Linked DNA regions of Drosophila melanogaster. The protein of the gene in region 1 purifies or fractionates together with the protein of each later gene. This does not show direct contact. Each region holds a gene or a part of one and is shown on either strand. Other genes may lie near its edges. The genes, in order: CG7423, CG14259 and CG5157.

Region 1 (3,022 bases):
GCGGTGGCCACGGAGGCGGCAGCACGATTAAGATCATCAAGGTGATCACCGATTCCGGAGCTGGTGGTGGTGGCTACGGAGGTGGCTACGGGGGTGGCCATGGAGGTGGCTATGGAGGTGGCTACGGAGGCGGCTCCTCCGGTGGTTACAGTGGCGGCCACGGAGGCGGTTGGTCATCCGGCGGTGGATACGGCGGTGGTGGCTACGGAAGCGGTGGCAACGTCAAGATCATCAAGGTCATCTCCGACGCCGGATCGAGCGGCGGGTATGGCGGCGGCTACGGCGGTGGTCACGGTGGTGGATACTCCTCCGGCGGTGCCTCCAGCTACTCCGCCGGCGGTTGGGCTCCTCAGGGCGGTTGGGCCCAGAGCAGTTGGTAAATGCTCTCCGTTGGTCAACGGATACTAACTTGTTACTGTTTCTCACTGACCTTAATTGTAAATACTTCCCAACATTAACCAATAAAACAGTGCGGTATAGAAGAGCCATTTCCACTATCAAAACAGAAACTAATGTTTCTTTTTTAGTAATAATCCGATATAGAGATTCTCGATATAAATCCACCTTGTAATTCCAAGAAAATTCGTTTTCAAGATTGTAAGAGCTGCTGATGCATCGCTTACAATCAGTCAGCTAGCAAATGAACCTATCAAAAGGTTACACTAAAAATTTGCAAAATGTACAATAGGTGGATCTCCCATATATGATGCCCTGTCAGGAGTTACGAGGACATCCCCAAGGACCTCAGTCCCGCGCCAGGAGCCGTCTAATGTCCTCCTGCTCGGCGGCCTCCGCGTAGCTCTGCCCCTCGGGCGTGCGCTCCGTGCGGCTGGCTCCCATCCGGAGCAGGAACTCGACGCAGCGTGTATGCCCCTCCCATATGGCCGCCAGGAGCGGTGTGATGCCGTACTTGTCCTTCCTGTCCACCTCCGCGCCGATCCGCACAAAGAACTCCAGCAGCTTCAGCTGGCCAAAGTCGGCGGCGTAGTGCAAGGGGAACCGGACGCCCATCTGATCGTTCACATTAAGCGATCCGGCTAGGAAAATTCGCTCCACCTCGTCGTACACGCCGTTCTTGATTGTCCAGATGATGTCCTCGATTTTGTGTCCATCGCCCATCGTGATCCGTTTGACTCAGTTTTTATCCGTATTTTAAGCAATGCGATTCATAAAATCTAATGATTTCAATAGTAGTACGTACGTATGCTCAATTCTAAAGTTGACGTGCTGGGTTACTTTGATGTTTGTGTTCCTAAACAAAAGTGCCCTTTTACATCGTTAAAGCTGCGTTCGGCAAGCAATTAGAGGCATTAAAAGTTTGCCGTTTGTAGGTGCTTTTAAAACTATAACAACATACATCCCATTGAATCTGTCAAAGTTTTCTATGACCTCGTCCCGTCGTCATAAAATTGTCCCCCATTTTATTTATCGATGGTAACCCACAGAATTTGACAGTTGTCAGGTGCTGCCGTTGTTGGCAATGTTTTATATTTGTGTTTTTTCATTCGGGCTTTGGTTTTTTGTGTTGTGTTAACCCTTCGTTAACCCCATACGCATGTCGGGCCATCTGTCCCCGTCCTCCAGTCAGTGTTCATGGTACATATAGCCCGCCACCGCCCACCAAATGGTAGGGCTTCCTACGCGCCAGACGCAATTTGTATGCAAATTTCCATGAGAATCTCAACACATGCAATAACAGCAACAACACAAAGGACACACGAGCAGCAGCAGCAGCGGCAGTGGCAACAAAAAATTGACTGAGCGTGAATGCAGAGCGGGGGGTTTTGGCAACCAATTGGTTACAAATACATAATAAGAAACGGACAGATATAAAATGGCAGAGAATGGGGTATGAGTATCGGGATGGGCAAAGATTACCATTCCGAAAGTGAAACGTTAAAAAGTGTCCAACAAGTTGAAATCTTAAGGAGAGCGCACTTTAACAGCAACCGAGTTTAGGTAGTTGAAGTTTGAGATACCAGCGGTTCCTAGAAATAGGATATAGCAAATTCAACGGAGTGGACCCAGGACGTAAATGCTTTGAAAAGCGCATAGAAGAGCGTATATTAAGCGGAGATTAAAGACGAAATAGTTTACGTTTAAGATACCATATACGGTTATTACTAAAATTAGTGGATTGTATCTATAAGGCGAAAAAATTGAGAAGCGCATAGAAGGACGAGTTTAAATATAAGGTAAGCTGAATTCAAAGAATGTAGTTGAAGTTTAATATATCATATGTTATAACAAATGGAACTTAGCAAATTAAAGGGCTTGTATCTATAACGTGAACACAATGAGAAGCGCATAGAAGGGCGCATTTTAAGCGGATGTTAGCCGAAACAACTACTTAAATTGGGGCGTGGCAGCCACACACACTCTAAGGCTTAGTATAATAATACTCAAGTAGCGGGTGCCGGAAATAAAAATAAAAATAAAATTAACTTCAATTGTTCTGCTGCTCGCACTTAGATAGTGCGGTATGCGAAAACAGAACTCGTAGGAATGGAATGGGGTTTTCTGGATGGGGAAATCGTGGTGACGGTTAGAGGTTGGGGGTAAGGCGGGGCGCTTACCGAAGGCACTTTCTATGCAAATTTTTATGTGTTAAATGCATTTTGTTGGATTTAACATTCTCGCTGATTTTTTGGTTTACATTTTTGCATATAAATGAGGGCAAACTTTGCTTCGCCCGGGCTAGAGAAAGCCCAGAAAAAGGGGCGCGGCTCACACACACAGTCACACAAATTAGAGGATTAAGTAGCTTGAGTCCTGCTGCTGTTCCTCCTTTCTCTTCTCCCCCCTCTATCCTATCCACTTTCTCCTTTCTCCTTGGCCCTTTTGTCTCAGAAGAAGCAGAAGCCGAAGCAACAGCAGCGGCGAGACAATTACGCTAATTCGCCTGAAATTGTTTTGCATTTTCAACACCCACCCACCAAGCAGCACCCACTTTCGTGGCAATGACAATGACTGCACCACCCGTCGCATATGTGTGAATGTGTGTGTGTGTGTGTGTGTTGGT
Region 2 (3,697 bases), on another chromosome or scaffold:
TGTCAACGGGCTTTGCGTTTCTCCAGATTTTTGCAAGTGCGATGACGGTTACATTTTCGTTGAAGAAAGTAAAAGTTGCCAGCTTGACAAGGAGCTACTTGGGGATTATTCAGATTGTGATAAGAACTGCCGAAATGGAACCTGCGTCGAAGGAATTTGTACTTGTAGTAAACAATATAAGCTGCATAGGAATGAGGACGACAACAATTTGATCTGTCTTCCGATTTGCGAACCCGAGTGCCTCAATGGGCTCTGCGAATTTCCGGGTTCTTGTGTCTGCTGGGATGGTGAGAGTCCGATAGATGGATACTCATGCCAATCTATGGATTCACTTGGGTCCCTTACAGGCCATGAAAAGAGTGAAAGACACTTGAAGTGGGTATTTATAACGATTGTTTCTATGGCCTTCATCTTGGCAATAATAACCACCATGCTGATTATTTATATATTTAGGAAACGCTCATATCACGTGGACAAGAATGGTAAGCCATGTTTCAAACAGTTTTTGAATAACTTAATGATTTTTCTCGTTTTCAGAGAGGGAGTTCGGTGTATATTTCTCTCCCAATAAGGTTGATATCATTCGAGCCTGAGCTTTAGCGGGAAGTCAGCAATATTCTCATTATACAATAAAAGTTACTGATAAAATGAAAAATGGATATTCGTTAATGATTTTTATTACAAATATTGAAAGAATTTGGGGATGGCGTACTACAAGTTAACAATAATAGATATCACTCAACTATTCTTTTTTGCCAAGTATCTCCTTTGGACCATAAAGTTGCTGGGGCGTTGGTATGTCCTCAACGAAAAAGTTGGCTGGTATTAAATGAAAAACCGTAGACATTACATCATAAAGGATATTTTCCACCGTCTCAACGATGAGTGGTTTCAGGGCCTCGTAGAAATCCCGCCAGTTTTCATTGAAAAACTCATTCGTACTGCGCTCCACCTCCTTGCTACGTCCATTGAATAGATTGTCCAGATAAGTGCGCACTTTGGACAGATTCAGTTGAACCTGCACAGCGGTCACGTTGTCGAAGGTGAAGCCACCCTTTTCATACAGACGTATTTTTGTTAGTAGCAAAATGTCAAGATCATCTGCGGGAATTTAAAAGTGTTAGCTGCCCATTTGCACCCGCATTTAAATATCGATAGAAATCTAATTACCAATCTCAATAAATATTTTGCCAGAGCCACTCAGTGGTATAAGGAGTATTCGTCCAGCCATTTCATACCTTCCATCCAGTCTCATTTTCGGAAGATATATTTTGGTCTGCCAGCTAAAGTCTTTCTTGCTCACACTGGTGGTCGAAAAAAGATATTTATATATTTGTTCCGCAAAGTTGCAGAGATTTATTGACTCCAAAAGCAGCAGTATAAATATACATAATTTATCTGTAGGACTTTCATATTCTTTGTACTCACCGACTCTCCTTGACCTTTGTGTTGGCAAAACCCTTGACCACCAGGTCAGTCAGATTGGCTCTGATGGTGGCCACCTCGTTGTTATCCTGCTTGAAAACTATATCCCTAACTCTCATGGGATCAAAGGGACCGAACCGCTCGAGCACCTCTGGTATTCCAATGTTCAACTGATCAAGAAGCTTCTGAATGCTATTCGTAGAGCACTTGGTGAAGCCCGGTTCGTAGATCCGACAAGATGGCAGAAAGGCAGCTGAGCAACACGATTTGCTAACATTGAAAAGAACTGCGACTCTGAGGACATCTACTTACGTTTTTCGGAGTAGTAGGCAACGGCTGAAACCAACGACCTATCCATGGCGATTTCATTCAGGCACAAAATGGCCAATAATCCACTCCAAATGCCGAGCAAAGTGCGGCCGTAGCGCGTGCTGCTCATGGTGTCGTTTTGGCAACTGTTTATTAATCAAGTAGTTAAGTATCTAAGTAGCTCAGCGAATAGTACTGTAGACGTATCGCGGTCTAGGCAGCCGCTGCTCAGTCACATCAAACAGTGTCACGCTTTGAAACCGACTAGCCGGCGACTTGCTGTGATCCGGCGTTTTATTCTCAACTGCCAAGATTCGAGATTTGGGTTCTCATATATGGTAACGACTTACAGCAACCTAACGATGCCGGGGCCAAGAGCAACTCATGTTGCTGAATATAATATCATTTTAATTCACCTATTTCCTGACTTAATAGCGAGTATACAGTGAGAAAAGTATCTAAAGATGAAAATATAATAGAAGCACTTTGAATGCAAAGATATGAAAATAATTTGTAATATAATTCTAATACAGTGCCACCAAAAAATAAATCAAGCATACACTACTACCCATTTAATACAAAACGACAGAGCACACGAACCCATTAAAATAACATAGAAGTACCGGATTATATGCTAATTTAGCATTTAGTGAAAGTCTTTAATCAAATAGGTAGCTGGTACATAGACAAAGGTCTTCTTGAACCGATCCAAAAGCACTCCGCCAACTGTTTGCTCCACCGCCGGACGCAGTACCTCAAAGAAGTCGCGCCAGTTTTCGTTGAACAAAATGTGTGCAGTATCCTCCAGATCCTTGTTGCCGCCAAAGAGATTTTCCAGCTTGATGCGGAATTGCTTGATCTCGCGGAAATTTACCTTTACACTTTGCACATCAGCGAAATAACCATCTGAGGTGGCCAGCGGTTTGACAGCCAATTCCAACAATAACAGAGCATTTTCTGAATAAAACCGGCTTTAAGATAGTAATTCGCATAAATTGTAGATTGCATCTTACCAGCTTCGAAGTATCCCTTGCCATGACCATTGAGATTCAGCGCTGAGACGTGTCCTTTGACTTTGTAATCGAAATTGAAACGCAACTTGGGCACGGAAATCAAAGTCCTGGCTACATAGTGATTTGGATCCCAGCTGAGAATTTTTAATGGTCAAACTTGATTTCGTCAGAATCTTTAAATAGGTTACCTGGATTCCAAGACTAATGCTTGACCAGCACCTGCTACATAGACTTCCTTCAGATCGGCATTGATAGCTATAGACCTGCTGGCATCCTGGGTAAATTTCACTCTCTTGATGTAAAAAGGATCAAAGGATCCCACGGCATTGTAGCCGGGAATTCCGTCCTTCCACTGACGGAAGAAACTCTGGAAGTTTTTGGTCAGACAGACATTAAAGTTGGGATCGCCCACGATACATGGGATTAGGAAGTCGGCTGAAAGTTGTACATTTAAGAATATTATTAACTTAACTCAACCAAAATATGTTGTATTAAATGTTTATTACGTTTCTCTGCCAGATATTTAGCTCCTTCGACTGCTGAAAGGAGTACGGCTACAATACTCAGGAACTTGGCAACTTTAATAAGCATCTTGATAATTTTATTCCAAAATGTGATGACTAGAACCGTTTTCTTTGAATGCTCTGATTGAAATGACGATTCTGTCTGGCCGCCGGTAATTTTATTCGAAATGGACCGCTCGAATGTATAACTTTTAAAATCATTTCTTTGTTTTGCCGATTTATATATATTTATTTTATTTATTTCGGTACAATTAGTAAGTAAACGAGTTTGGCCGCATTAGACTTGTTGTGGTCGTACAGGGTGCCCAAATCTTTCGATTCATCTGATGCGATACCCTAGCTCGAAAATGCATTAATTTTTATAATATTACTTAGCCTTTGCCTCGCCGGCGACTCCATTTCCAGTTGTAAAGTACTGTCATAATA
Region 3 (4,053 bases), on another chromosome or scaffold:
TGGCAGTAATCGATGGAAAAAGGAAACCGGGGTTTTGTTATCATCCAGCAGTCATAATAACAACTAGTCACAAGATATCTTTAGCGTTCGGAATTCTAATAGCCTTGTCATAAAAATGACCGATCTTATAACTATCTTAGGAACACACCTATTCATTAAATTAGTGCCCAGACTTTTCACTAATTAGATACCAAACTTATTTTAGTTATGCTTTAATTTTTTCATTTTTTATAACTTTCTGTAATCTTTCCAGGTTTTCAATTTGCCAGCACCTGGGCAACGGAGTTCTCCGTTCCGACTCCGCCAAATCGCTGGACTTCGAGCCCGCCCTGCGCTCCATATGCCGCAGCGAAAAGGAACGGGCAGGACTGGAACGGAAGTCGAGTAGATTCTATCACTATCTGCGCAACCACACGGTAAACGTGACCAGTTTCACGACGGATTACTTTGACACTGCATGCAGTACGTTCCAATCGGCTGCCCCCAGCAGCGAGCCAACCATGGAGGCCGAACCGAAAGATTAGGCATCGTTTGGATTTAGTTTAATTTTTTTGAAATTGGTGGAGCAGCTCCGCCGGCTTTGTTTGCAATTTATTCAGATCGTTTAAGAAGAGTTGATCTTTTTTAAGATAGCTTTGTGGACATGAAGATGTAGCTATTATGAGATAAACCTAGAACTATTTACAATTTAACTATGATAAACTAACTACGACCTCATCCTATGTTAATAAATCAATCAAATGACATGTAAACCTATGACTAGCAGCAACAGAAACCGGAGGAGCTATTCTTCGCGGGTTCGGGATCTTCGGATATTGTGTTTGCCGTCGGCTTTGCTGCACCATTGGACGTTGGCTGCACTTGAATGGGTGCAGCTGAGTTGATTTCTCCGATTTTGTAGTTCTTTAGATCCTTTTCTGCGTCGGAGGAATGGCCTGCCTGCTTGAAGGCCTTGGTGGCATCCTTGCCGCCATATTCGAGTAGTGCTTCACTGCCGCCAGGATGCTCGCCGAGGAACTTGGTTACATCGTACACGTTCCCCTTGATGATCAGCCAGCAGGGTTTGCCATTCTTGCCGTTCTGCTGGGCCACCTCCGAGAGTTCGTACAACTGTGACATATTGCTGATTTGATTTCCTAATTGCTTTCCGCTGTTCGCGAATGTCTTTTAATGGCTGCTGTTAATTTGCGTTTAATAAGTCGCGCTCTTGATTCGATAATTTTAGGAGCTGTTAACCGTTGGACGGACTCGGAAACACTGGACGCGTGCCAAGGGGCGACCCTTGCTTATGTTTAACATTTATCAATAGTTCAAACAATCGCCTAGATCGCTTGTACTTGCCTTGTACCTGTTCTCCCCCATTTCCCCCTCGACGGGCAATTACTATTTGCTGTTTTATTTCAGTTATTTCCACAATCTGTCTGCATTGTGGTTGATAAGAAATACGTGAGAATTTCACCGTCTTTCAAGGCGACCTGCTACTAGTGTGGGCAGTGACCAATCTCCTTTTTTTGGGTGGGATTTGTGCAAATCATTAATGCAAATGGATGGCGCGAGTTGTCATTGAGTGGGTTTCTATCGTTGGTGAAATCTAAGCACAGTTTATGATTCACTTGAACACTTCCCGTTGAGTAATTTATGGTGGGAATTTTCTTTGAGTTAGTTATGTCCATTAACTTCGACACCATTTATTGATAACTGGAACATTGCAGGGTTCATATCGTACAATCAGTCAAACCCAAAATGCAATAATGTGTGTCAAGTGCCAATCAAAGCTAAAAGTTTCCAGTTGACAACAAATTTGGTTGCTTAAAGAAAAAACGGTTTTTATGTTTTCATAGTTATGTTCTATATATTTTGGAAATATATTTTAAATTTGCTTTCATTTTTCCCATTTTTGTTTTTTTGCTTTTAATGCTTTTGCGTTTTATATGAGACAACAACAATAATTGGTATTCAATTAATATATATATGTATTTAGATATATATCGATTTTTATTCCGATTTTTGTATATTAGACGTTTTGCATAATGCGCTTTAAAAAATTTCGCTAGTATTGGGTGCACTTTGCCTGCAGGGATCAAAAATCAAATTCGATTTTCTGGGAAGTGGGAGATGGTAGATGGGATGATTTTGATCTCGGATGGTTTCGAAAAGTTGTTGAGAAACTGTTTGGGATTGGGTGTGGTTACATTAACATAATGCTCCGCAGCGCATTGTCCTGCATTCGGTGTATTTACAAATGAATCTCTATACTTTTCTTGTTATTTACTTTATTTATTTAGCTTTTGTTATATATATATTTATATATATCAGTCGACGGTTTTGCATTTTCGAAACGCAGCTCGTGTGCGCTTTCATTTGTATTCTCGATCTAAACGTACAGATACAATATAGTAATAAATATCGTATATATAAAGTGTAAAATTAATTACTTGTCAATGATTGTTGATTTATTGAATTAATCGATCTGCTTGAATTTAAAAAAATCGTAATTCAATCAATTGATTTACTATAATTTAATCGATTTGTTTCATTTCATTTGATTTACTTAGTTTCCGTTTAGTTTCGCTAAACATAATTCGTAGACTTGATCTTCGTTTAGAATTTAATTTTTAATTTAAAAAACAGTTTTGGAGGTAGTTGAAATTAGGCCTGTTTGTATAAATGTGTATATGATTCTCCGATCAAACGAGTTTAATCGCTTCGATATTTAGCTGGACTTAATTTGTTTAGAACTAATTAAGTGATTAAATTCTACGCGTTTAATTTAGTTATTCATTGTCTCCGGTTTTCTCTTCGTTCTGTGATATTTCGGGCTATTTCCGGTTGCATTACTTTAAGTATTCTTTGATCCATAGACATCGAACTATATCGTTATGTATTTAAAATGTAGGCTTGTAGGACTTGTTGGCGTAGTAAAGTGTTTTCGTTTTCCATTATTTTGCATTTGTTATCATATTTTCCTAGTTTCTCGCATTCCATTTCTCATCTAAATTGTTGGTTAAATGTGTTTTAAACTTGATTTAATGGATCGTGAGTTCTTGAAACCATTTTTTGTTTTTCCTTCTCTTTGATAATTTCAATATAAAATGTTTGGGGCAACAAGGTGCACGGGTTGTTTGAAAAATTACGCATTTTTGGAATTTCAGAAATTCGTGAAATTATAGACTAATAAATAAGGCTGGATATCTAAACAATAAAAGCTCTGAGTTGCTTAATTGTGCTTATAATATACATTGCAATGGGACTTTTTCTTAACTCTTTGATTTTCCTAAACTCAGAACGTAAAAATATAATGCCAATCTAATTTTAAATAAACCGCCAAAACTCGACCAGAGTTACACTTGAAAATGCACGATCGCCCGTTGTTGCCAGACTGCAATTGGTTATCGATAACTTCAGTTTCATCGATCGTTACGTTTTAAATTTAAAATTCAAAATGTATCCCGCTAAAATCCGAAATCAAGATTAGCTGCAGCCAATTTAAAATGAAAACAATAATTTCTCTACAATTTGGTTTACATAGATTTCATTTCATTTTTTGTTTTTTTTTTTCTTTACATCGTAATTCCGTTAGCAAATATACAAATACAAATTTCAATTGAACTAAAAATTGTTTGTTTGTGTGTGTTTTCGTGTGTTCCAGCACATGGGCCTTGCGTACAATAATAATAGGGGATAAGGGGATTTGGATAGGGGGGTGGGGGTGGGGGATAGAGTATAGTTAAGAGTTGGTTGGCTTCGATTTAAAACTAGAGTTATTGAAACTAAAGTGTATACAATATTCATTCATAAAATTACAATTACATATTCACTTATGTGTTGTTATTTACTTTCCTCATTCCCTTTCTTCAGTTTTTATGGTATTGTGTCTGTCTCTTTCAAGTTTGTTGCTTTCTTGGTTTTTACAAAAACGTTCTCGACTTATTACTTTTATCAAGCGACGAATGGAAATAATGTTACATAACTTAAAAATGAACCTTCTACGGTCTGTGGTGAGTGCTTAAAAGGCGGCAGCGCAACTATACATATGTCTTCTCCGTATCATTC

What was found.
Region 2: the proteins of CG7423 (region 1) and CG14259 purify together in Drosophila melanogaster (affinity purification with mass spectrometry, with the first as the bait; one large-scale study listed by BioGRID). This does not show direct contact.
Region 3: the proteins of CG7423 (region 1) and CG5157 purify together in Drosophila melanogaster (affinity purification with mass spectrometry, with the first as the bait; one large-scale study listed by BioGRID). This does not show direct contact.

What each region holds. Positions count from the first base shown.
Region 1 is NC_004354.4:19,082,061-19,085,082, forward strand, and holds CG7423 (uncharacterized protein), read right to left. Parts: upstream 1,231-3,022; 5' UTR 1,120-1,230; coding exon 745-1,119; 3' UTR 549-744; downstream 1-548. Other genes in the region: CG14191 (uncharacterized protein), read left to right, coding at 1-380.
Region 2 is NT_033777.3:27,092,820-27,096,516, reverse strand, and holds CG14259 (uncharacterized protein), read right to left. Parts: upstream 1,985-3,697; 5' UTR 1,865-1,984; coding exon 1,738-1,864; intron 1,679-1,737; coding exon 1,429-1,678; intron 1,305-1,428; coding exon 1,171-1,304; intron 1,102-1,170; coding exon 743-1,101; 3' UTR 661-742; downstream 1-660. Other genes in the region: eater, read left to right, coding at 1-482, 538-593; CG14258 (uncharacterized protein), read right to left, coding at 2,381-2,691, 2,748-2,881, 2,936-3,182, 3,254-3,338.
Region 3 is NT_037436.4:16,135,943-16,139,995, forward strand, and holds CG5157 (uncharacterized protein), read right to left. Parts: upstream 1,938-4,053; 5' UTR 1,120-1,937; coding exon 760-1,119; 3' UTR 545-759; downstream 1-544. Other genes in the region: elg1 (enhanced level of genomic instability 1), read left to right, coding at 254-524.